Saccharomyces cerevisiae S288C: one gene and its partners. The protein of the gene in region 1 interacts with the protein of each later gene in a biochemical or structural test. Each region holds a gene or a part of one and is shown on either strand. Other genes may lie near its edges. The genes, in order: VAM7, VTI1, VAM3 and NYV1.

Region 1 (6,178 bases):
CTTCCTTTGGTGCCGGTGTTAAGCTGATGGTAGGACCCTTTGGAGCGCCATTAGAGCCCATGTTGTTGGTACCCGACCCGCTTAAGTCTACTTGATGTTTGCTTACCATTTGGAAGATGGCTACGATCAGTTCTCTAAATGCTTTATCTACATTATCACTATTTAAAGCACTTGTCTCAGTAAATAACATTTGGTTTTCCATTGCGAAATTTTTCGCTTCATCGGTTGGTACTGCTCTTAAATGAGCCAGATCTGATTTGTTCCCTATCAACCCAACAGCCACGTTGTCATCTGCGTTCTCTCTCAGTTCGGTAAGCCAGTGGTTGCAATTTTCGTATGAACTTGATTTGCTTATATCATACACTATAAGTGCACCTACAGCACCACGGTAGTACGCAGACGTGATGGCCCTGTAACGTTCTTGACCTGCCGTGTCCCAAATCTGTGCTTTTATCTTCTTGTTTTCAACTTCAATGGTTCTTGTAGCGAATTCCACGCCAATCGTGGATTTGGATTCAATGTTGAATTCATCGGTTGTAAATCTCGACAACAGATTAGATTTACCCACACCGGAGTCGCCGATAAGAACTATCTTAAATAAATAATCGTAGTCGTATCCGTAATCTTCGTTGCTCATTCTTGGAAAACAATATGCTTGGTTCGCTCTTTATCACCACGCTTTTCCTCTCTTTCCAGCGCGAACCATGCAATGGCCAGCTTTATAGCTGATTCTTTTATTTGTCTTTATTGTGTTGCGCGTTCTAATGGAGGGCGCGCCGTACTATATTATATTATATTATGTTACGCTGCATTCTTCTACTGCGAGCTATATATATGTCAAAAGCTGAGTTTCTCAAGAGCTCTCAGCTTCAAGGCTGCACCATCGGCAGAAGTGTCATTCTCGATTGCCACTTGGGCTCTACTTTTCTCCAGTCCTTCCAGCAACATGCACGCCTTGCAAATGTTATTTGACGACAGATATCCACATCTAGCGCATCTATTGCCGTCAACAAATTTGACGACTCTCTTTCCAGCGTTAGATTTTTTAGCCTTTAATGCCAAATTTTCGCCACTTTGGATGATGTCTATAATGCAACTGGGCCTCACTGCTTCCAGATTCTTCATGTATTCTCTCGCAGTGCCCCTAAACGCTTCTGGGGCATAGGTACACTCAGTGGAAAAATAATCCAGCTTCATGTAGTGCGCATACAGGACAATTTCCTTTTGGTAAGAATATTTAAATGGTTTTGATCTCTTGATGGGAGAGCCGCTACTTTGTGTGATAATCGCAGTCGATTTTTCCAATCTTGCTACGTCACCACGTAGGATATTCATTAGTACTGTCTCTGCCATATCGTCTGCATTGTGGCCGGTGACAACGTGAGATATGCCCAGCTTTGCAGCACCACGGTCCAATGATTGTCTTCTAAAAACACCACAATACGTGCAACTGTTCCTTATACCAGCAACGGATACAATCTCATCCATTGTCCAATCATAGAGGTCCTTAAAGGAAAAAATCTCCAAAGGAAGGCCATACTGCTGCTGATTCCTTTTCACCGTGGCCAAGGAATCATCTCTGTATCCGATGATTCCTTCGTCAATACTCAACAGTACAATCTCAATGCCGTAATCGTAACGGTCATTCAGAAGCTTCAGCATATGCGCTAACACCGTGGAGTCTTTACCACCAGAGGCCCCCACGGCTACTTTTTCTCCCCTCTGAAACAAGTTATTTGCTACAATAGTGTTATGGATCTCCGTCTCGAACACGAGGCAGAAGCATTGTTTGCAAAGTTTAGACAGGTTTTTGGGTCTTCTAATGAGAGCCTTTCTTGAATGACATAGTTCACACAACTGTGATACCTTCACTTTTGTCGGTTTATTGACGGGATCTGAAGGAGCAGTAAACGACATGACGGTTCCTTTGCTTTACTCTTACCATATCGTCTCATCGCCAAAATTTTTCAATTACTAGATTTACAATTTTTTTTTTTAGTACAAATATACTCTCAGGATTTGTAACCCGGATAGTAACTCATTAATTCAAGCACTGTTGTTAAAATGTCTAGCCTTCTTGTTGGCTATCTGTAACCTCCTACCAGTGTTATCGACGTCATCTTCAAGTGCTGTAAGTAGCTCATTCTGTGTTTGCAGCTCCTCGTTCATCTCTAAGGCCAATCCACGTTGTGCCTGGATAATTCGGTGCAGTGCAACCAACTCTTGTTCTTGATCGCGCACCATTTGCATCTGCCCCTGTTGCAAATCGTTATTCGTTCTTCCTTGAACTTCCGTGGTTGAAGAGTTGTCACTGGTGGCAACCCCCAGAAGTCGTCCACGGTCCTGAGCTATGTTTGCTGTACCAATGTCATCGCATTCCTTGAGCAAGGACCTCAATAGAGCGGCGCGACGAGTCACTTCCGTGCTTGGAAGAGACTTCTTTTGCACATCCTGTTCTAGTCGCTCTCGTAACTTGTGGAGCTTCGTACGTGCCCTTAGTGCTCCACGCACGCTGGGTGTGCCATCACTCTCCTTATCTAAATCCAATTTAATATCTCTTATCATCTCATCCCATCCCACTTCGTCAGCAGTTTCTAGATGCTGCTGTGACTTTTCTTGAGAAACATTTGGCTTTGACAACTGCAGGAAGTCTTGCGCTATTTTTGTGTCTCTCCATCGAGAATCAAAACGATCGTTATACAATTCATTGAGGAACCTCTCTAGTCCGATCCGTCTTTCATCGATCATTTCCGGATCATCATATCTTCTTTGCCACCTCCTGTCCAATACACCGGGCTTTTCAGGGAAGTCATATGGGATGGTGCTTCCTACATCTCTCTCCAATCGTGTCTTCAGTTTCCAAAACTCGGAATACCTTTTGTAAAGGCGCTTGTTTGGTGTACTAACACCGTATAAAACATACTTGGGGTTGATTTTAACATCGTCCACCTTGATTCTTAACTTTTCACTCATTTTCCCTACAGAATTAGCTGCCATCAATATCAATTATCAACCCTTATATGACTTTATTGTTTTTGTTTTTGTTGGCTAATTAATTGATACAAATCTTTAGGCGAAAAATAAAAAAAATATAAAGTAAAGAAGGAAAAATTAGGCGATATTAAAACAAATCTAAAATAAAGACAAGAAACGAAAAAGAGGTTAATCAAGTATTGGAAAAATGTCCAAAGTGTTTATTGCCACAGCAAATGCAGGTAAAGCTCATGACGCTGATATTTTCTCGGTTTCTGCTTGCAATTCATTTACGGTAAGTTGTTCAGGTGACGGTTACTTAAAGGTGTGGGATAATAAGCTGTTAGATAATGAAAATCCAAAAGATAAGTCATATTCTCACTTTGTCCATAAGTCCGGATTGCACCATGTCGATGTCTTGCAAGCTATTGAGAGAGATGCATTTGAATTATGCCTTGTTGCTACCACTTCATTTTCTGGCGATTTACTCTTCTATCGTATCACTAGAGAAGATGAGACTAAAAAAGTTATATTCGAGAAATTGGATCTTCTAGACTCAGACATGAAAAAGCATTCCTTTTGGGCATTAAAATGGGGTGCCTCAAATGACAGACTACTTTCCCATAGGCTGGTTGCTACAGACGTCAAAGGGACCACTTACATTTGGAAGTTTCACCCGTTTGCAGATGAGTCAAATTCTTTAACACTAAATTGGAGCCCCACGTTAGAATTACAAGGCACTGTCGAATCGCCTATGACTCCAAGTCAATTTGCCACTTCTGTGGATATCTCTGAACGAGGACTAATTGCCACAGGTTTTAATAATGGAACAGTACAAATTTCAGAACTATCTACATTACGCCCGTTGTACAATTTTGAATCTCAGCATTCTATGATTAATAATTCGAATTCCATCAGATCGGTGAAATTTTCTCCTCAAGGATCCTTATTAGCCATTGCTCACGATTCAAATTCATTTGGTTGCATCACTCTATATGAAACTGAATTTGGTGAAAGAATAGGCTCCTTATCCGTACCAACCCATAGCTCGCAGGCAAGTCTGGGTGAATTTGCACATTCTAGCTGGGTCATGAGTCTATCGTTTAATGATTCTGGTGAAACATTATGCAGTGCCGGATGGGATGGTAAATTGAGATTTTGGGATGTAAAAACAAAGGAAAGAATCACTACATTGAATATGCATTGTGATGATATTGAAATTGAAGAGGATATCTTAGCTGTTGATGAACATGGAGATTCTTTAGCTGAACCTGGTGTCTTTGACGTGAAGTTTTTGAAAAAAGGTTGGAGATCTGGTATGGGAGCTGATTTAAATGAAAGTTTATGCTGTGTTTGTTTAGATAGAAGCATCAGGTGGTTTAGAGAAGCTGGCGGTAAATAATCTCTAGTAATATCTTGATATATTGCATGTAACCTTACAATCATCCATTATTCTTTTTGGTTCATAAAATTTCAGTAATATTTAATACCTTTAATAAGCCAATGTATGAATTTCACTTCACAAAAATAAATTTGCTAGTAATAAAAAAAAAAAATTGGTTTTTTTATGTATTTCTTAAATATTAGAAAGAGATAGACTCAATTCTTACATATGTATATGTGGAGAACTTGAAAAAAAAAATTAATAACAAAGTAAATGAGAAAAAATGATAAAGGGAAAGAAAAGGACAAGATGTTAAAAATCCAGTGCTTTTTTTTTTTGGTTTTCATTTTTTATAGTTTTTATTCCTGTCATAAAATTTGTTTAGTTTTTAATTTTCTTTTTTTTTCATATTTTTTTATTTTTTTTATTTTTTTTAATAAGATCACTCACCTAAGAGGTCCATATGGAGTACTAATAAAAAAAGTAATAATAATAATCTTTCTTCTTTATTTCGTTTTTCAAAAATTTTGTTAGCTTCCGATTTTCATTTTAGGAAAATATGTTTCTAGATTTTTTTTTTTCAAATTTTTCAATTTTTTTATTATATCTGTTTCGAAATTCTGTTTTCTCATGAGAGAAAATAATAAAATGATAGATTAGAAAGATGATCCTGGGCAAAAGAGAAAGTAATTCGATGGGATCAAAGAAAAAATAAGGAAAAAAAAGTTTTCACTAATACACTGCCGAATACGGAAAGTAGTTTCGCTCAAATCTTGAATGATTTATTGTGTCATCCATTGACTTCCAGCCAAGATGATGACCGTAAGACTGATTATGGACGTGAGGGGGAGGTAATTGTGGAGCGGCAGGTAAAAGTGAGTGTTGTTTTTGTTGTTGCTGTTGTTGTTGACTACTGAAATTGTAGAAGTCGTAATCAAACTGAGTTTCCGAAATTGGTGAAGAATATATATTGGGGAATTGTTGATAGTAATTCAATCTTGGCTGATTATAGTTGTAATAGTTATAATAACCATTCATACTAGAAAATTCAGACCTTGAGTTACTCTGATAAGATGGTGATGAAAACATGTTATGCGGCATCAGCATGGGGGTTTCATAATTGGAAACTGGAGATAATAGGTTGTTTGTGGAAGTAGGCTTCAAGTTGAAATTTACGTTTCTCGTATCACCAACGTTGACAATTGGAGATAATAACGTAGGAACCGCTACAGCAGGTTTGAGTTGATTTTGCTTGAAAATCTCAAAATTCTTGACGAACTCAAAATAAAGAAAAGCACTATCATACAATTCCCAGTTAAATATTCTCAACCATTGTCTCTCGAAATCATTGATAACATTTATCAGTATTCCTGTTGCCTGTGACCATGAGTTATTGGTGAAAGTTTTGTCATCGTTGAACTTGTTTGCTAATATGAACGCAATCATAGTATTTTGATAAATGATATTGATCGAATTGCCACCAATTGAATGTATCCCATTAGATAATTTATTGATATACTTGAAAAGATAATCTATAGCCAAAAAAATAGTAGCTGAAGGCAATCTCGTGGCATTCAACACAGAAGATATGCCCTTGAAAAAAAGATCAGTGGTCTGGTCATCAGTACTATAGTTCGCGTTGAAGGCAACAAAGGCATTTTCCATGATAAATTTTGACATTATAGAAATATCGTAGTCCAAGTTCTCACTGACGCCCCCATTTACTTGGTTAGATTGTTGTGGTTGTTGTTGTCCATCCCGAATCATTTGAACAGGAGGAGGAATAACGTTGCTGTTATTGTTACTAGTGTACATTAGGCC
Region 2 (6,007 bases), on another chromosome or scaffold:
TCATGAATACTGAAAGTATCAGGCGCGGGGTTGTAGTAGGTAAAGAATTTCTCCAAGAGGTTGTAGGAATGGACTTGTTTACCCCTTTACGCGCGGTGTTTTCGTGGCTTTACCGCATTGGGGTATGTCCCAGAAGAGAGTGTGCGCTATTCGATTTCCTATCAGTGAAGTGTTGCGAACAAGGGAATGCTGTCGAATTAGGAAAACAAAAGTTTATTCATGCAAATTTTGTGGCACGCTACCCTAAGTTCTCGATGATGTTTGGCTGCGTTTAAGTGAGTAATTTACATCCGCCTGTTAGTCCCGTAACATTCTCTTTTATTTTGCTAGGATAATTAGGTTGATGCCACGCACGACAATGTAGCTACGTAAGTTTTTTATGTAAGGGAACGAGACGAAGTGATTGTAGCGCACAAGATCTGGCCTTCTTAATCTAGCTGAGGTAATGTTATTGTTCTTTTCAGCTTTCCCGCTAAGGCTAGAGCCTTCTCGATGTTTTCACCAGCGTTAATCTTGAAGACAAAGCACTGCTTTGTTTTAGTGAGAATATGCGAAAGGACTGAGGGAGCATCATCAAGCTCTCTATTCAGCTGTACCGTGGACATACTACCGATATATATATTCATTGAATGGGACTCTTCATCTTTTCCCAACTTGGTATCTAAAGTTAAAATGTTCATGCATTCTTCATCTTGTGACAGATCTCTAATTTCTGTTGGGTTATCTAATCCAACGTCACTGTGTTTAATACTTCCGTCAAGATGCAAAATGTTCAATGTCATCTTATAATTCTCACCGTACTGCTCAATTAACTGTTTTAGCAAAGTCTTTTTCATTGGTGCTGTGGGTTGCTGCGAAACCACTATAATGCTGCAGTTAATTAACTTGCTGATGTATTTTTCCAGGAACGGAATGCATTCGTTATATAAGCGTTTGTGATCCTTATGGATTTCTTCGAGAACTACTCTATCAAATACTTGTACCCGTTTTTCTCCACTATTCTCGCAAATGCACCGATCCACATAGTTGATATGGAATTCATCAGGCATTTGTCGTTCATTGGCATACGCAAAGCATCGGGTGTATCCTTTGATTTCTTCAATTGAAGTGGCCAGATTTTGTCGTGTGTATAATTCCTGTTGAACCTTTTCTAGTTCATTAACGTACTTCTTCTTCCAATTGTTTGCTTCTCCTTCGACTTGCTTCTTCTCCTCCTGCACTTGCGTCAATGCTTGTGATGTAGAAGCAAGCTTCTTTTTGAGAGGAACAACGGCAAGTTCCATGCTATGGAAGTTCACTTCTGCCTCTCCAATCCTTTTTTCAAAATCGTTAAACTCATCTCTACACGTCTTAATATTTTCTTTCAGTTCACCATGGGTGTCTTGTAGGTCTTTTAAAACTTTCGAAAGTCTTTCTTGCTCCCCATCTAATTCAATTCTAGCATCGTTCTTAACTTTCTTGAATATCTCGAATTTCTTGTCCAATTCTTTTTTGTAGTTTTTACACTCGTTCTCATTTTCATTCTGTAGAATGAATAGTTTCCTATTGACCTCCTCGAATTCTGTTTTAAGCTGTCGCATTTCGTCAGTTAACCTTTCGTCAGGTTTCAAATTTTCTACTTCCATTAATTTATACGTCCACTCCCTTTTGGCATTCGATAGCTCTTCCTCTAAATCGTTTTCGAACTCTTGTACTTTTACTGCATGCATAGACACTATATTTTTTGATGATAGCTCAACATTCTTTCTTTGAAGATCACATTGATTATCCTTCAAGTCCATCTCCGTTGATAGTCCATCAATCTCATTTTGTAGCTCCCTGCACGCTTTGACTTTTGCATCTAATTCTAATGTTATTGCAGGTAGTTCCCTGGCATGAATACGAACAGATTCCTTTTCAATTTCAGAAATAGCATTCAGTAGTGAATCTATGTCTTTTCTAACCTTACGTTCATTGTTCTTAACCCTTTCAATAATCTTGGGGTCCCCCCCAAAGGTTAGTTTCTTAGTATACGTAGCGGAGGTGTCATCAGTGTAGCAGCGCCGTATACCAGATCCAGAGCTGTGCAATATATTTAGCTTGTTGTTATTAGGAGTTAGTATCATATCCATTTCTCTTTTCTGAACCTTCTGTCGTTTTGTCTTTGGAAAGTCTCGAGTGACGTTGTTTGGATCACTATGAAAGGAAAGTTTAGGAATTTTGGAGTTATTCATCCTAATAATAAAGCTTATGTCAACGAGTTTCAAATGCCAAAACAAATATTAAAATAGTGAATAGCTCTTATATATACACGGTCCAACCCTATGGCACAAAATTCACTTATTTAGGCGCTTAATTATAATGTCGTAGTTGTGTTTCAAAGTTGCTTCAGCCAAACGGAAAAGCCGCCTAAATGTGTCGATCAGTGAATGAGCTCAATAACGTGTGGATATCAAAAAATAATACAGTAAAGCCTTATTCTCGGACGATATGCTCAATGGTCAACGACTGACTAGTTTTATTTTGATACGAGCTACGACAGTGGTATCTTTCATATACTAGAATCATATTAGAGAGTAAATAAGAACAAAAATGGTAAACAAACAAATATCACTATGGACGATATTACTGATCACATGACTGTCTAATTTTCAATGAAAGTTAGGAGTGGAGTAGTCGTGCTATATAGGGCAATTACTATTCTTGGAAAAGTGTAAAGCTTTACATTAAGTTGTATAAAACGAATCAACCGCACTCTTTACATTGCTGCATGGCTTACTATGAGTTCCCTATTAATATCATACGAATCTGACTTCAAAACAACCTTAGAACAAGCCAAAGCGAGCTTAGCAGAGGCCCCCTCACAACCGTTATCACAGAGAAATACTACACTGAAGCACGTAGAACAGCAACAAGATGAGTTGTTTGACCTGCTAGATCAGATGGATGTAGAAGTTAATAACAGCATAGGCGATGCCTCAGAACGTGCTACGTACAAGGCGAAGTTAAGAGAATGGAAGAAGACTATACAGAGCGATATCAAACGACCACTGCAATCCTTAGTAGACTCAGGCGATCGTGATAGACTTTTTGGAGATCTTAACGCATCTAATATTGACGATGACCAAAGGCAACAGTTGTTGAGCAACCATGCAATCTTACAGAAATCGGGAGATAGACTAAAAGATGCCAGTAGAATAGCAAATGAAACTGAAGGAATAGGGTCACAAATAATGATGGATTTAAGGTCACAGAGAGAAACTTTGGAAAATGCAAGACAGACCTTGTTTCAAGCGGATTCATATGTGGATAAAAGTATAAAGACACTAAAAACAATGACTAGAAGGCTAGTTGCTAATAAATTCATAAGCTATGCCATTATCGCAGTCCTTATATTATTGATTTTGCTAGTTTTGTTCTCAAAGTTTAAATAAGGTGGGAAAACAAATTCAATAAAAAACCTCTAGAATCTAAAGAACATGTCAAGGAACTATAGAGTTACCTTCACTAGTAATATCAACGCTACCTTACTGATAAAAAACTACTGCAATTAAATATTCTATAGATCAAAATATAGAGGTATATCGTTGGAAATATTTTTCAAACGTACAGATATTGAAGGTTCACCGCAGTTAATCAAGACACATCCTTATTCAACGGACTCATTGGGTCCATTGGGTCTATATCCTCATCTTTAGCCTTGTCAGTTACTTTCATATTTTTCACCTTATCTTTTAGCTTGCCTATAAGCTTGGTTTCAAAGTTGTGACGATCTTCAGGTACCACAGTTTCGTGAATACCTTCCTCTTCATTCATTTCCTCCATCAAATGTCTAGCCTTGTCACTTGAAATGCTGCTTTGTGGTGTCAACCCAGAATGGGTGCCCCCTATCCTATGATGGCGCTTTTCTTCTTCGGTTAAGTCCAAAATGGTGGCAGTGTAGTTTACCAAAGACTTTGCACTCTTACGTCTTGCCATTCTCTTCATTTTGGGACCTTGCTCAGAGCTCTCTGTTGAAGCGGTCGTTGCCACAGATGATCTTGGCGTACGAGGTAGTCTTACACAGGATATACCTACATCACTTATCCATTTGGCCACAAGAGCAGTCCAACCACATTGGTGTGAAGCGCCAAGCCCTCTTCCAGTATCACCGTCAAAGTATTCAAAAAATGGCACATAATCCCTGAAATATGGATCAGAAGACAGAAACTTAGAGTGATCACCATAATGAATGGCGCGCTCCCCGTTTTCGTCTGGAACAAATAAGTGAATCATACGATATCCAAGTTCTTCGGCAACTTCAGCAAGATTCAAATAATCTCCTGAACCTACGGGACACTCTACTTTGAAGTCGGAACCGTAGTACAGGTAAAACCTTTGTAATGCTTCCATTATTAAAAAGCTGGTAGGAAACCAAATGGGCCCTCTCCAGTTAGAATTACCGCCGAACATACCCGAGTCTGATTCGCCCGGCAAATATTTGACCATATATTCGACACCATTTACATTCATTTCGAATGGGTGCTTCTCATGATATTTGGAAAGAGATCTAATACCATATGGTGACAAAAACTCAGTTTCATCCAGCAAACGTGACAGTATGGCTGTTAATCTTTCCTTAGTAACTAGGGATAAAAGTAGTCTTTCTCCCACTCCTTTTTTTGACATGGACGCAATGTTTCTATCAAAGATTTCTGGACGGTTGTTCACAAACCAATCAACCCTCTTCTTGAAACCGCGGAATTGTTTTATGATACTAGGCTCTAAAGTCATAGAAGCATATAGTGGGATCAATCCCACGAGAGATCTTATTGGTAGTTGCACCTTGTGGTCACCCCAAGAGATGGCATCGTAATAAAATTTGTCTGCTTCATTCCATAGGTTTTGTTTGATAACTTCTTTACATTTCTCTCCCGTAATATCAGTAGCGTATTCAAAGGACATAGAGTCACTGATTAAGATAAAATGTTCAAAAAATTTAGAGGCAATATCTTCATAAACCGGGTTTTCTTTGGCGAGCTCTAATGCAATATTTAGCATTTGAAGGCTGAAAAAGGCCATCCAACCTGTAGAATCAGCCTGTTCAAGCGTACCGCCAGTGGGTAGTGGTTCTGATCTGTTGAAAACGCCAATATTATCAAGACCCAAAAATCCGCCCTCAAAAACATTTTTACCTTCAGTATCCTTTCTGTTGACCCACCATGTAAAATTTAACAAAAGCTTCTGGAAAACTCGTTCTAAAAATGTACGATCTTCACGGTTGTACATGTTTCTTTCGATCTTGAAAACACGATACACAGCCCATGCATGGACTGGTGGATTTACGTCATTGAAGTTCCATTCGTATGCCGGAATTTGACCGTTAGGATGCATGTACCACTCTCTGGTTAATAAATCCAATTGCCGTTTTGCAAATTCTGGATCAATCATAGCTAAAGGAATGCAGTGAAACGCAGTATCCCATGAAGCAAAAAATGGATACTCCCATTTGTCGGGCATTGATAAGATATCTTCGATGTAAAGGTGCTTCCAGTTCTTGTTCCTGCCATTAGCTCTATTAGGGGGAGGGCGAGGCTTAACATTGGCGTCACCATTATACCAAGCATCATATGTAAAATTGTAGAACTGTTTAGTCCATAGCAAACCAGAAAAAGCTTGTCTTTGAAGGTTTCTTAATTCATCACTGATTGGCAAAGGTGTAATCCTCCAGTAGAAGTTATCAGCTTCCTCCTCTCTGTTATCGAAAATCAAATCAAACTCATCTTCATCTACGACAGCCAGGTTTTGTGCCTTAAAGATAGAGTTTTTTGGGTCATTTGTAAATTTGTATCTCACAGTAACATACTCTCCGGGCGGAATATTTTTGAAGTGATATACTGCGCAGGCCTTTGTTCCTTTATTTTCAGGATTTACAGCATCGGTTTTGCCTTGAACAAGATATTCTTCAAAAGCATCCTTTGTGTACTCGGAAGGATTCTTTTCTTCGTTAAATAGTTTTACTAAATTGGACTCATTATCGGTAAATAGC
Region 3 (6,084 bases), on another chromosome or scaffold:
TATGTATGGTAGCCCTTTTAGCACCAGTCAATGCTTCCACGGTTCTTTTAATCAAGTGTTCTCTAGATTGGACAAGACATTGAATACCAACATCATCTGGAGCGTTTTCTACAGCATACCTGGTGAAGTCGAAATCTGTTTGAGATGCAGAGGGGAAAGACACTTCGATTTCTTTGAAACCGATGTTGATCAACTTGTGGAAATATTCTTTCTTTTGAGCCACAGACATTGGGTCCGGTAAAGATTGATTACCGTCCCTCAAGTCAGTAGACAGCCAACGTGGAGCCTTTTGAATAGTTTTGTCAGGCCAAATCCTCTTGACCATTTTTGGTGGAGCAAACGCCCTATATTTTACCGATGGGTCCCGTAGCATATTTTTATAAGTCAGTTTGACGGGTGGGATAGACCTTCTTAGTTTACTAGCATGCTCAGCTAGCGCTATGAACGAATGTTTTACCATGGCTACGCGGCTAAATGATAATGTGCCGATAGTATTATCCTAAGGAGAAGACCCTTATAAGCCGAAAACAAGGATTGTGATTTCGTGGAGTAAAGTAAGGCATTATTGAAATTTAACAGCTAACTTCCAATCAAGCCAGTAAGAGGCAAAACTATGTTGTAGTTGTGATTCTGGACATCGTTTTTAATTTTTTTTTTTTTTTTTTTTTTTTTTTTCATTTTTTGGCAAGGCCGAAAGAGATGGAAAAATATGAGTCATTCACTACGACCGTTACCGGACCATGATGGCGCGCGGCACCAAAATAGACGAATGAAGTATATAACAAGCGCCATGCAGAAGGAAGAGCTAACATTAATTACTATACAGATAAATGTTTAGTGTTTGAATATGACAACATATAAAAGAAGACTGTGCCCAATGCTCTTATTTTAAATGCCTGTGAAATAATTATATGCAGTGTCATGTACGTAAAATTAAATAAAAACTAAAGTTACAAACAATATGAGCGTGATGAAATGAAGTAAATTGTGTGAAATGAATTAATATGAAACGAGGGAACTAGCCAGAAAAGCGGATTTTCTATCGTTGTTCTACTTAATCAAAGTTCTAATCTTGATTAACTGATATCATGCAAATTTAGCTTTTTAAAGCCGTTTTCAACGCTTTTTTCATTTTTACCGATCGCTTTATTGGGTAATGGCGATGAGGATGAAGATATTTGTGTCTCCACAGATGATGAAGAGGCTATCTTTGTTGATGACTGTTTTGTCCTTTCAAACGGTTTTGAACATTGCTGTTATAATGGCTACAAATGACGCCTGAAGGCTGTTTGAAAGATTTCCGTTTTTTAACAAAGTTAAGTTTTTGCAATAAACCTTTCCCCGAGTTGAGAATTCCTGTATTTTGCGGTTTTTGCAGATTTCTAGTGCTGGTATTCTTGTAGGTCGAGCTGGTAGTGTTGAGTGAGGAAGAGGACTCGCTTGGCCGAGAAGTGCGATCGCTGCATTGCGACTCATTGGTCGTGTTTGCAGACGTTTCTTGAATGATAGTTGACAAACCATTGATATCAGGCTTCTTAAGATACGAATTTCTATCTTCAGAAATATCCTCCACGCCTAATGACGAAAAAGAAGTTGTAGACTCGTTTTTGAGATCTTGTTCCGTAGCAGAGTCATTGTGGGCATATGTGGCGGAGTACTTTTTCTCATTAACAGAACTCACAAATCGGTGATACCCGTCCATTAATAGGCCCATCACATGGCTAATGGCACACAGGACGTCTACGTCGGCAGGTACTTCATTGTTAGCAAAGCACTTCTCAAATATCTCCCTAGTATCCTGTGAAAAGTTGCATTCTTTGGGGGAGTCCACGGCAATGTATTTTATGTACAACGACTTGTTCCAAACTTCCAAGAGCTTCTCCTCGCTAATACTCCTGTTTTGCTTAAGCTGGAGGAACTGATGAGCTTTTTCGAAAAATTCTAAATTTTCCTCACAATGAGCTCTTTTTAGAAATTTGTAAAACTTTTGTATTGTGTAAGGAGAACGCATCCGTTCGTGATGCCCTTTTCGCAGTTGAATCAGCACTGTATTGCTACTTTCAGCATCGCCGTCGCTGCGACTATTCTTTTCTAGCGGTATCAGTATGTCGCATAGACTTGGTACACTCGCCATCTGGCATGTGCTGAATTTTCTTCGTTTTATGTATCAAAGGTGCCTTACCTAAGATGTTTTGATATTTATATAGCCAATGTAATATTTTTTTTTTCTTCTCTTTCCTTGCCTCGTCGCTTGAGTTGTTTGCTTTTAGTGATCACCGTTGACTTTGTAAAAATCCGTTTAGTCAATTTTGGCAACTGGTTCAAGCAATGTGCAACGGAAATGGTATAGATGTGATGTGGTATAATATGTTATTAATTTGATTACTAGCGCCTTAACTATCTTTATTCAGCAAGTTTTTTTTTCATCTCCACAAAGGGACGTTTACAAAGGGTATCCCGAAAGAGATACTACATGACGACGTCATATATACGTATATCTCAAGAAAAGAATTGTTAATGATTATGTTTTTTTTTTCTTCTTTCAATTTCCTTTTTCTGATTGTGCTAAAATGAGCGCCGAGCCGCTTCGATCGGGGTACCTGCGCACTTTTCTAGCGGTTCGGTTCGGCAGTTCTTCCCGAAGCATTTAACGCAACCTTGTTCCTCATTCTCCAGCAGGTCTGTGCTTGGTGCGCGACTTTAGCTGCAACGGCGTGGGTGTGCCGCAGCGGACATTTCTTAGTTAGATGTCATCTCGGCTGGACCGGGACGCCACAGTAAGATTTCAAACTGCTGAAAATTTTCGCCAGCAGAATAGCCGCTACTATCAGGCCGTAGCGACAGGATCGTGCCCGCAATAACGTACACATCGAGGTAATTATGCATGATTTCTTTTTTTGCCGAGAAATTCTGCCATTTTTATTAATCCACGCTCTGTCCTTATCTTAGTGACAGGCAAGGATGTTCTGCAAAAGCGAAAATTGAAATAAGATAAATACTTCCGAGCCAGACACGTTCTTATGTTTATCAGGGCCCACAAGGTTCATTTAGAAGACAACGCATACAATGTTTTGTTTCTTGATAACGGTTGGCGGCCGTTAAGCAACAGTAAGGCAAATGACAGTTAACGGAAAATAACAGGGTTCTTACTTTTTACATACAGTAGCACAATCCTTTTTTTATTGGCAGTCGCTAGTAGAAATTCGTGGGGATTTACGGACTACTGAAAAAAGGTCAGTGTAGATCGTACAAAGTAGAAAAAGGAAAAAGGGCATATCGAGCCCTTGCATTTAAACTACGGAGTACAAAAAACACAGGTTGCGCACATGGGAAGTGCACTATCACTAGACATCAAAGGAAATTTTGAGTCAAAAAGAGCGGCTAAGAAACCCCCCTACCACAAAAGAATAAATGCAAAAAATAACTTATACACTCTTATACACTCTTGTTTTCGTAAATAGATAAGATTGGGTCTACCAGAAAGTCTGTGCTCAATGCGCGTTTAAGGAGATTACTAACTTAATACAGCAAGCAATACCACCATGCACACAACTATTATAATGATTAGGGTGACCTTACCGCATTTGTTACGGTCCCTCTGATGCTGGTCTGCTCTGGTTAATTGTTTGTTTGCATTCTGCATGTTATCATGTAAATGCGAGATATTCTCGTCTATGGTGGTTACTTGTTCTCCCTGTTCTTTCACTAATGAACCGAGCTGATGGAAAATAGCATTGACTTCTTGTACCGCCGTATGAATGCGTCCTATCTGTTGGGATCTTTCCTGGTGAATGATTGTTTGAAAATCTAGTTCTTCTTGGGACAATCCTTGCTGTTGTTGTTCTTGTTCTTCTTGCAGCTGTAATTGGTGTTGTCCTTCGTTATGCAGTAAAGGACTCTGCTCGTTTACTTTTATAGAAATATAACTAGACTCTGGATCTTGTCGCACGGCTTCAGTTCGCGGATGGATGTCTTTTCTTTCCTTAGATGTTCCTGGTGAAATAGGCGTTTTTAGAGGGAACAGACTCTTCCTTTGATTGTATGATTGTTGTAGGGATTGATACTTCGTTTTCAGGTTCTTGAAATCAGCAGACAACTTTCCATTTTGGTGAATGAGGATGTTGCTCTCAATTTTATCCCTTACACTGGTGCAGTTCGGTATTAACTCTGTTTCAATTTTGTATCTTAGTTCTTTGGAGTCCCGTTTGGAACCAATTTTGGTGCATTCCTTTTCCAGCACGCGGGATTGTTCAGCGAATGTCTCAATTAAATTGCTTAATTCCTTCGTTTTTTGATTTGTTGAGAATTGTGGTTCTTGCTGGGAGTTACCCTTTGAAGATTGTGCTTCGATGTCGAAAAAGGACATAATCTCAACTTTCTGCAGTGGATATTAGTTGGCCAATTTGTTAATGCTGATCCCGTGGTTTTTTATTGTTCTATTTTCCTTCCTTTAATCTCCTGGCTGCTTTCTTTACATCAAAATCAAAATTCACTACAAAAATGTATATAGAGTTTTTACTGCGCATCTCGCGAAAAAAAAAGTTGTGATGTGAAACTCGAATATGAGGCTGAACGAATATTATCATTTGATTATAATAAGTATTGACTTGTATGATCTTAGTTTTGCTCTTCCTGTGTCCTCGTCAGCACCTAGGTAAACTATATGTTACAAATAGATCACTTTTATCCTGAGGAAAACAACCTAATTTATTGTACATACTAACTGACCAAGAGGAAGTTCACCATTGACTGCCCTTATTTGCATTTTAAAAGTTGCGGTTTCTGGTGTTACCTGTTAGAAGGCACCTTTTTAGCAACCGGTACAAGGAAAAACTCGTTGGAAGATTTTTTTTTACTTTCCTTTCCGTAAACGCAAGCTCACAGTTATTCCTGAAGAAATTCCTAATTGGTTCTTGCAAAATCTACCAATGAATCCTCTTGATCTTAAAATGTCTGACTGATTATTCAAAAGAAGGGGGAATATATATTTACCTCATTAGTAATATCTATCGCTTTGGTTTGGTTTATATCCCTGATATGATTGATAATTTTCGGTTGGATATGGACTTCTATGATTAGAGGAGGGAGTATTGTAACTGTTTCCCTGGAGGTTATTATTGATGTTATTATTATCGTAATAATAGTTCTCGCCATAATCGCTGATGTCAAAAATTGGAGATTGTGAAGCAACATGAGCGTTGTTGCTACCAGTATTGGCCGCATTTTGGATAAACGAATTTCTAGCATCATATTGCGGCTGAGGGCTGCTACCTTCGAAATTTTCTTCTTCATACACTAGAGGGGCCACCCTACTAGGGCTGCGTCCTTCTTTATTTCTTTCCTTCTGTTGTTTTTTCCTTGTTTTCTCTTTTTGTTTTTCCAAATCGAAATCTTCCTCTAATTCATACACCTCATTACTGGGAGTTTTGACTTCGTCGTAAAATGTATCATTCTTCGCATCGTTTCTATAATACGCACTTTCAGGTTGTTGAATAGGCTGATAAATCACAGTAGAAGGAGGAGCCACGCCCATATTAACTCTACTAAAACCCTCATTTACCGGCATTGTATTGTTTCCATTTCTGTCATTAGAACAACGACAACACCAACAAATGAACTGACCTATTCCTGTTACCCCTTGCCTGAAACATGTCAGTAAGCCCCCAATCAACCAAATCACAAGAATACAGGCCAAAACAATACCAACAATCGCAATAATTTTACATGCTTTATTGTCCATGCAGGTGTCCCAGCTTCGGAAACTTTTTCCTGTACTTACTACACCATCTGTAAAGGACGATCTCGGAAATAGTGGTACTATTTCTTTCAACTTGCAAACGTTCATTACTGTGTATACGCTTGGGAGTCTTTGATTATATTTCTAGTATTTTCTTGAAACGGTTATTTTGCTAAAAATAAACAAGATAAAAAAAATCTAAAAAGTCACGACCGGGGGTGGTTATTCTTGATCTAAGTAGCAAATATGTAATATATTTGAAACTTTCTTGCGCCCCTTTAATTTTGAAGTTCTTCTAGGCTTTTATCCAGTTCTAGAGTAGAAGTTGCGGTTCCAGTAGATCTTGA
Region 4 (6,112 bases), on another chromosome or scaffold:
ATCACAAGAGGCAAATCTAAATCGGAGAGGCCCATCAGCATCCTAGGCTCAGTTCCATCCGGTTTGAAAGAAGTCGGGGTTTTCCATGTTCCACCAGGATTAATGTCTAAGCTTGGTCCAAATTTGCCTGCATCCATTATTGTGTTATTGTTGGAGCATATCGCTATTTCGAAGTCTTTTGGTAGAATCAACGACTATAAAGTCGTCCCCGACCAAGAATTGATTGCTATTGGTGTCTCGAACCTTTTAGGTACTTTCTTCAATGCTTACCCAGCGACTGGTTCCTTTTCAAGGTCTGCTTTGAAGGCTAAATGTAATGTCCGTACGCCGTTATCTGGTTTGTTTTCGGGTTCATGTGTTCTTTTAGCATTATATTGTTTGACCGGCGCATTCTTTTACATTCCAAAGGCTACCTTATCTGCAGTTATCATTCACGCTGTATCTGATCTTTTGGCCTCTTATCAAACTACCTGGAATTTCTGGAAGATGAATCCATTGGACTTCATCTGTTTCATTGTCACCGTCCTAATAACGGTATTTGCCTCTATTGAAGATGGTATTTATTTTGCCATGTGCTGGTCATGTGCAATGCTCATTTTAAAAGTGGCTTTCCCAGCGGGAAAATTCTTGGGTCGTGTGGAAGTCGCTGAAGTTACTGATGCTTACGTCAGACCGGACTCCGATGTGGTTAGCTACGTGTCTGAAAATAACAATGGTATTTCCACTTTAGAAGATGGTGGTGAGGATGACAAGGAAAGTTCCACCAAATACGTCACAAATTCCTCCAAGAAAATAGAAACAAACGTTCAAACAAAGGGCTTTGATTCTCCATCTTCTTCGATTAGCCAGCCAAGGATAAAATACCATACTAAATGGATACCGTTTGATCATAAATACACAAGAGAATTGAACCCGGACGTTCAGATTCTCCCCCCACCAGACGGTGTTCTTGTTTATAGGCTATCAGAGAGCTACACCTATCTCAACTGTTCCAGACACTACAACATCATAACCGAAGAAGTTAAAAAAGTTACCAGACGTGGTCAATTAATTCGCCACAGAAAAAAATCTGACCGTCCATGGAATGATCCTGGTCCATGGGAAGCACCTGCTTTCTTAAAGAATTTGAAATTCTGGAAGAAAAGGGAGAACGACCCTGAATCCATGGAAAACGCGCCCAGCACCTCAGTCGATGTTGAAAGAGATGACAGGCCATTGCTGAAAATACTATGCTTAGACTTCTCACAAGTGGCACAGACAGACGCTACGGCTCTTCAATCATTGGTTGATTTGAGAAAGGCCATAAATCAATATGCAGATAGGCAAGTTGAATTCCACTTTGTGGGTATCATTTCACCATGGGTGAAGAGAGGTTTAATTAGCAGAGGATTTGGTACTCTGAACGAAGAATACAGTGATGAATCCATTGTTGCCGGTCATACAAGTTATCACGTCGCCAGAGTACCTCAAGGCGAAGAAAATCCTGAAAAATATAGCGTTTATACCGCTTCAGGAACAAATCTACCTTTCTTCCATATCGATATCCCAGATTTTGCTAAATGGGATATCTAGCCAATGCATTTACAATGGACATGCAAACATTTATATCATCTCTTTTTTTCTATATTCCTAAACCAAAAAGTTTTCCCCCTTAAAAGTATACATTTAATATCATAATGAGATAGACACTGTTTATATAATAAGAAATAATAGGTAGGATGGTGCCATCGTGAGCATATACATACCTATAAATATTTACCTTATTTTTATTTTATTTTTCTCTTCCTCTCAGGAACAAAAGAAATACAACCGTTATTAATGTTATTGTCGTGGGACAGCTCCCCTTTTTTTTTATTTACTTACCACAGATAGAAAAACATGAAAGCAGCACTTACAAATAGTATAATAGTGAAAGTTAATAACGTAATATTTTTGACCTTCTGCCACCACATTATTTCTTTTATATTGACCGCTTTGCGCCTAAATTTATTACTGCTGCTATTTAGTTGGGAAGTTTTATCCACCAATAAAGAAACTCTTTCTTGTCTCTCCAAGAACTTGTCGATGTTATCGTTCATTATCTGGATGACGTCCTTTATTTGGTCTTCGGTGGCATCCCCGATGTCACTTATAGTGTTCTGACCATTCCCATTACTAGATTGGCCATTTCCAGAACTATTTAAAGTTTGGTTACGGTATTCGACCAGCTCTTCATGGAAAGAGTCTAGTATTTGACCTACATGCGAACTTAAAAGTTCGTTTGTAGCGTTGGACTCGTATTCCTGCAGCCCACTTAGTATCCTGATGGGCAAAATCTTGGGCATATCTACTAATGTGAAGCAAACGTACACAGTTTTGGGGTCATGGTCATCCGTGGAGTAGAAACAATCGAATCCGTCGATGAGATTCATTGACATCTTGGTAACTTTGTTCCCCTTGATCGGAACTACTTTGGGTAATACCATATCCATGATCAAATTATGGAAAATGACCGGCGTTATCTGCTCGTTTGCTGAAGTTATTGTACCATAGTTTTCGTTTTTCTGGAACGGCTGGAAACAACTAGATATTGTTTCACCATTTTTTATAACTTCCACATAACTTACTAAGACCATATGCAAAATCAAGCAAAATGGAACGTTAGTCTACTGAATGTAACATAGTAAAATTATGGCATGGGGGGATGAGCATTCGCATAATCCCTTTTTTAAACATTTGTTAATTGTGTAGAAATATTTATACATACCATTAAAGCGTTTCATTTGGTAAAAATATAAAAGTCCAATGCTCTAACAGCTTAATAAATTGTCGCTTTTCACTCTGTTCTTCAAATTTAATAGCTGTTGCTCCAACTTAGTCAAGTGCTAGAAAATTCATAGAGGGGCTTTTTTTCATCATTATTGTGACCTCATTTTTTCTTTCTTCGATCGTTTGAGGCGAATATTACCCGGGCGCTTGGTGGTAATGCGTTGTTTTAAATATTATATATAATGAATGTGGTGGTAGAATATATAGTTTACTATTTTTAGATAATGCAAATGGGTGGGGTGAAGGCGATGAAAAGGTGGGGGGTCTATCAGAGAAACCTGCTGTCACACCAGCCCTTTACGACATATTGAATCTCTCTCGTAGGTGCGGAAGTCTTATTGGTGACTTTGCCTAAATTTAGTTTTCCGCATGGTTTGAGCATTGTGCCGCCATTGTTGAACCATGGCTTGACGTCTGAGTGTACGCGGACCAAAGAACTTTTCAAATCCGCCGTTGCATGTTCGCTTGCGGATTCACGGCCTTGCGAAGGTTCCGTATTGCTTGTCGTTGCAACAAAGTGCAAATTCCAGGGGGTAGAATCGCCAAAAAGATCATTTCTTGTTTCATGGACCATGTCAGACCATAATTTTTTCCTAGTAATTAGGGCAAGCTTAATATCGTTCGTAGAGACATTTGGCTCCTTTTTGATTTCCAAAGACCGAATTTCGGAATACGTTAGCTGCTTCAACAGATGGTCATCTACTTCGACTTCGGGTAAAATACTCTTCCTTTTACATGATGTTTCAATAGAGTATAACTTTAGGAAATTGGTATTCAAACTTTTTTGTCTTATTCTTTTATTGGGCAAGAGCTCGCTAGATGCAATCGAACCGTCGGTCTCGGGCGATGGTGATGCAGATGGCCATTGTTCTAATTCTACCAGGTCATTTTCGTAAATCATGTTTTCTGTAGTCGATTTGCTCCTACTCTTCCTTCTTGAAGTCTTGCCGCCTTTCTTGTCGATGATTTGGAAGTCCACAGAGGTCGGACGAAGTTTGGCATCGGACGACGCAGAAACCAGTGAAAGGGCAGAGGACGATCGCGGACGCCGTTCGTATACGGGAGGAAAGATATCGACTAAATCCTTAACCTCCCAGTCGTCGAACAAATCGAGATCATTTATGTTTATTATTTTCATTTTGGGCACGACCGGCTCAGCCAGTACCTCATCGCCAATCGCGGGGGTCTGCAAATCGACAGCGTCAGCAATATCATCTGTCAAGGGATGAAGTTTAGAGGAGCTCAATGAAGAACAGTCGCTTTGAGCTTCCTCGGAGAACTTCCTCTTTATGCTCTGTGTTAAGTGGCCCTCATGTATGGGGCATTCGCCCGATAACGTCTTGGCGGAATTTGTTTTCCTAACTTGCGACATGACCGAGCTTAAGGACGGGGTCATCAAAGATGAGCGATTTTCGTTCAGCAGTTCGGAATCGTCTCGAGCCTTCAGTATTCTAGTCCTCTTGAAGCTATTCCTCTTGGTTAGTGTTCTAGTACGTTCAGCGCTTCCTTGACCATCGAACTGCGGCTTAGTGGAGTGGAAATAAATCTCATCGCTCACCGTCCTATTACTTGTGGCGGTCTTGTTCATGCTGGCGCTGGCTAACTTGTTATTCTTCTTATTAGTAGCGGTAGCGTAAAATGACTTGGGATAAAATACCTTTGATGAGTCGCTCCATGAGTGCAATGCGCCATCATCACGTATGCTTTTGATGAGGCAATGTTCATGCACATGAGCATCGTGCATTAGTGTGTGATTTGTGTTCACGTCCAGCAGCATTCTATAATTATGTCTTGTTGAAAGTGTTCTGTATGTTCGTGTCTATCCAAAGAAACAAGTAATTGAGAAAACTAGCCATCAAATACTTGTGAAGAAGCGAGTTTCCATTCTCTGTTTCACTCGTTTGGCGTTCTCACCATCCCACTTTTATTTCATTGGCTTTTTTAACACAATAAGGCGCCTTCAGCACCTTTGCCGCGCATTAAGGATGGCCACTGACGAAAAACCGGATAAAAAAAGACGAAAAAATGCCGTCTGACCCTAGTCAGGAGCCGCCTCATACACCCTAATTATTTTGGCGCTAAGCCCTAAGCATCATTATTACCCGACATGAAGCGACAGAAGCCCTACGGATGTGCGGCTGGAAAAGAAAGTTTCATGAAGAACCAGTTGATATATATTTTACTATATACTTTTGCTGTGTATTTCTATATGAGGCTAGTTGGTTGGTGGGAACTGGAAGTGAAAGTTCTGTTCTTTAGGGTGCAGCGGTTGCTGTTGCTGTTGCTGTTGCTGTTGCTGCTGTGGTTGGATTGATGCTTGTGATGTTTGTGGTGCCTGTGGTGCTTGTGGTACAGTTTTGCTGCCAGTTTGCTGCGAGTATGTAATTATGGGGTGAGCGGCATTTACATTAGGTGCTGGATTGATGGCTGGATTTGTTTTTTCGTAAGCGGCGATACTAGGCGTTGTGCTACTTGACATGTTTGCAAATGCATTATTAAACACTGGAGGTGAGACAGACTCGGTTAGTTCCCTTTTCTTTGCAAGCTCTTCGAGCCTTTTCTTTTCTTCCTTCATTTTTTTTCTTCTTTCACGGTCTTCCTGTTGTTTTCTTTGTTTGGCCCTTATTATTTTCAATTCAGGCACAAAAATGTTGCGCAGCTCAAGTTCCAAGTCCCTGATGCACCAAGCGCAGATAAAAGTGGAGCATTCAGACAGCGGTTTGCGTTTATCAGTAGGTCTTGAAGACTTGGTGCTGGGTTCAAGTGTGGATTGGGGTCTGCGAGAAGACCTTCTATTGCCGTGCGAATTTCCCATTATGATGACGCCAAAATCACGTTGCGACAGCGTGTGCTGTGGGGATTTTGTGGTTGAAGATATAAGCTCTATAATTTTTGGAGGTTGGCATTCCCAATGCTGCCACCTGTAACAATGATCACAGCATATCAATGGGCGGTTATTGAAGAGGTCAGTCTCCGTGTCTTCGGTGATAATCATGGGCGCCAGCTCTGGTTCGCCCGGACATTGGAAAACAGAATCTTGGTTGTCGGGCTCTTGCTGCGGAGTAAAGATCCCGTAGTTGGCAAGCTCATCTAGCTCTTCCTTTGTTATGCAGAAGTCACTAGGCAATTCAGGGACGTCTCCCGTCTGTAGTGGCCCAACAGTTCCAGGAATTGGTGGTTCCACCGGGATTATACTAGATTGAAAGTTAGGGCCGTGATCAAGAACTCCGATATCGATTTCATTTAAGGGATTGTCCTCCTCCCTGCCCAAAGACGTTTCAAAAAACGGTGTACCAGAACCACT

Evidence for each region.
Region 2: the proteins of VAM7 (region 1) and VTI1 form a complex in vitro, tested with the Saccharomyces cerevisiae proteins (8 studies listed by BioGRID).
Region 3: the proteins of VAM7 (region 1) and VAM3 form a complex in vitro, tested with the Saccharomyces cerevisiae proteins (13 studies listed by BioGRID).
Region 4: the proteins of VAM7 (region 1) and NYV1 form a complex in vitro, tested with the Saccharomyces cerevisiae proteins (9 studies listed by BioGRID).

Annotation. Positions count from the first base shown.
Region 1 is NC_001139.9:88,251-94,428, reverse strand, and holds VAM7 (Vam7p), read right to left. Parts: upstream 2,998-6,178; coding exon 2,047-2,997; downstream 1-2,046. Other genes in the region: Rab family GTPase YPT32, read right to left, coding at 1-637; NCS6 (Ncs6p), read right to left, coding at 838-1,917; SKI complex subunit WD repeat protein SKI8, read left to right, coding at 3,182-4,375; CLG1 (Clg1p), read right to left, coding at 5,090-6,178. UniProt on the Saccharomyces cerevisiae protein: Essential for proper morphogenesis of the vacuole. May exist as structural reinforcement on the surface of the vacuolar membrane and be required for maintenance against rupture by osmotic pressure.
Region 2 is NC_001145.3:655,951-661,957, reverse strand, and holds VTI1 (v-SNARE protein VTI1), read left to right. Parts: upstream 1-2,759; coding exon 2,760-3,413; downstream 3,414-6,007. Other genes in the region: CIK1 (Cik1p), read right to left, coding at 429-2,213; YMR196W (uncharacterized protein), read right to left, coding at 3,616-6,007. UniProt on the Saccharomyces cerevisiae protein: t-SNARE found in various SNARE complexes involved in multiple transport pathways. The composition of the t-SNARE complexes is specific for a limited number of v-SNAREs and therefore allows only the vesicles carrying the matching v-SNARE to fuse.
Region 3 is NC_001147.6:517,403-523,486, reverse strand, and holds VAM3 (SNAP receptor VAM3), read right to left. Parts: upstream 4,367-6,084; coding exon 3,515-4,366; downstream 1-3,514. Other genes in the region: 2-isopropylmalate synthase LEU9, read right to left, coding at 1-460; GTPase-activating protein RGS2, read right to left, coding at 1,205-2,134; YOR105W (uncharacterized protein), read right to left, coding at 4,966-5,292; PIN2 (Pin2p), read right to left, coding at 4,997-5,845. UniProt on the Saccharomyces cerevisiae protein: Required for vacuolar assembly. Provides the t-SNARE function in a late step of the vacuolar assembly. Required for homotypic vacuole membrane fusion, autophagy and fusion of biosynthetic transport vesicles with the vacuole.
Region 4 is NC_001144.5:324,654-330,765, forward strand, and holds NYV1 (Nyv1p), read right to left. Parts: upstream 2,763-6,112; coding exon 2,747-2,762; intron 2,606-2,746; coding exon 1,860-2,605; downstream 1-1,859. Other genes in the region: SUL2 (sulfate permease), read left to right, coding at 1-1,572; GIS3 (Gis3p), read right to left, coding at 3,077-4,585; IOC2 (Ioc2p), read right to left, coding at 5,024-6,112. UniProt on the Saccharomyces cerevisiae protein: Vacuolar v-SNARE required for docking. Only involved in homotypic vacuole fusion.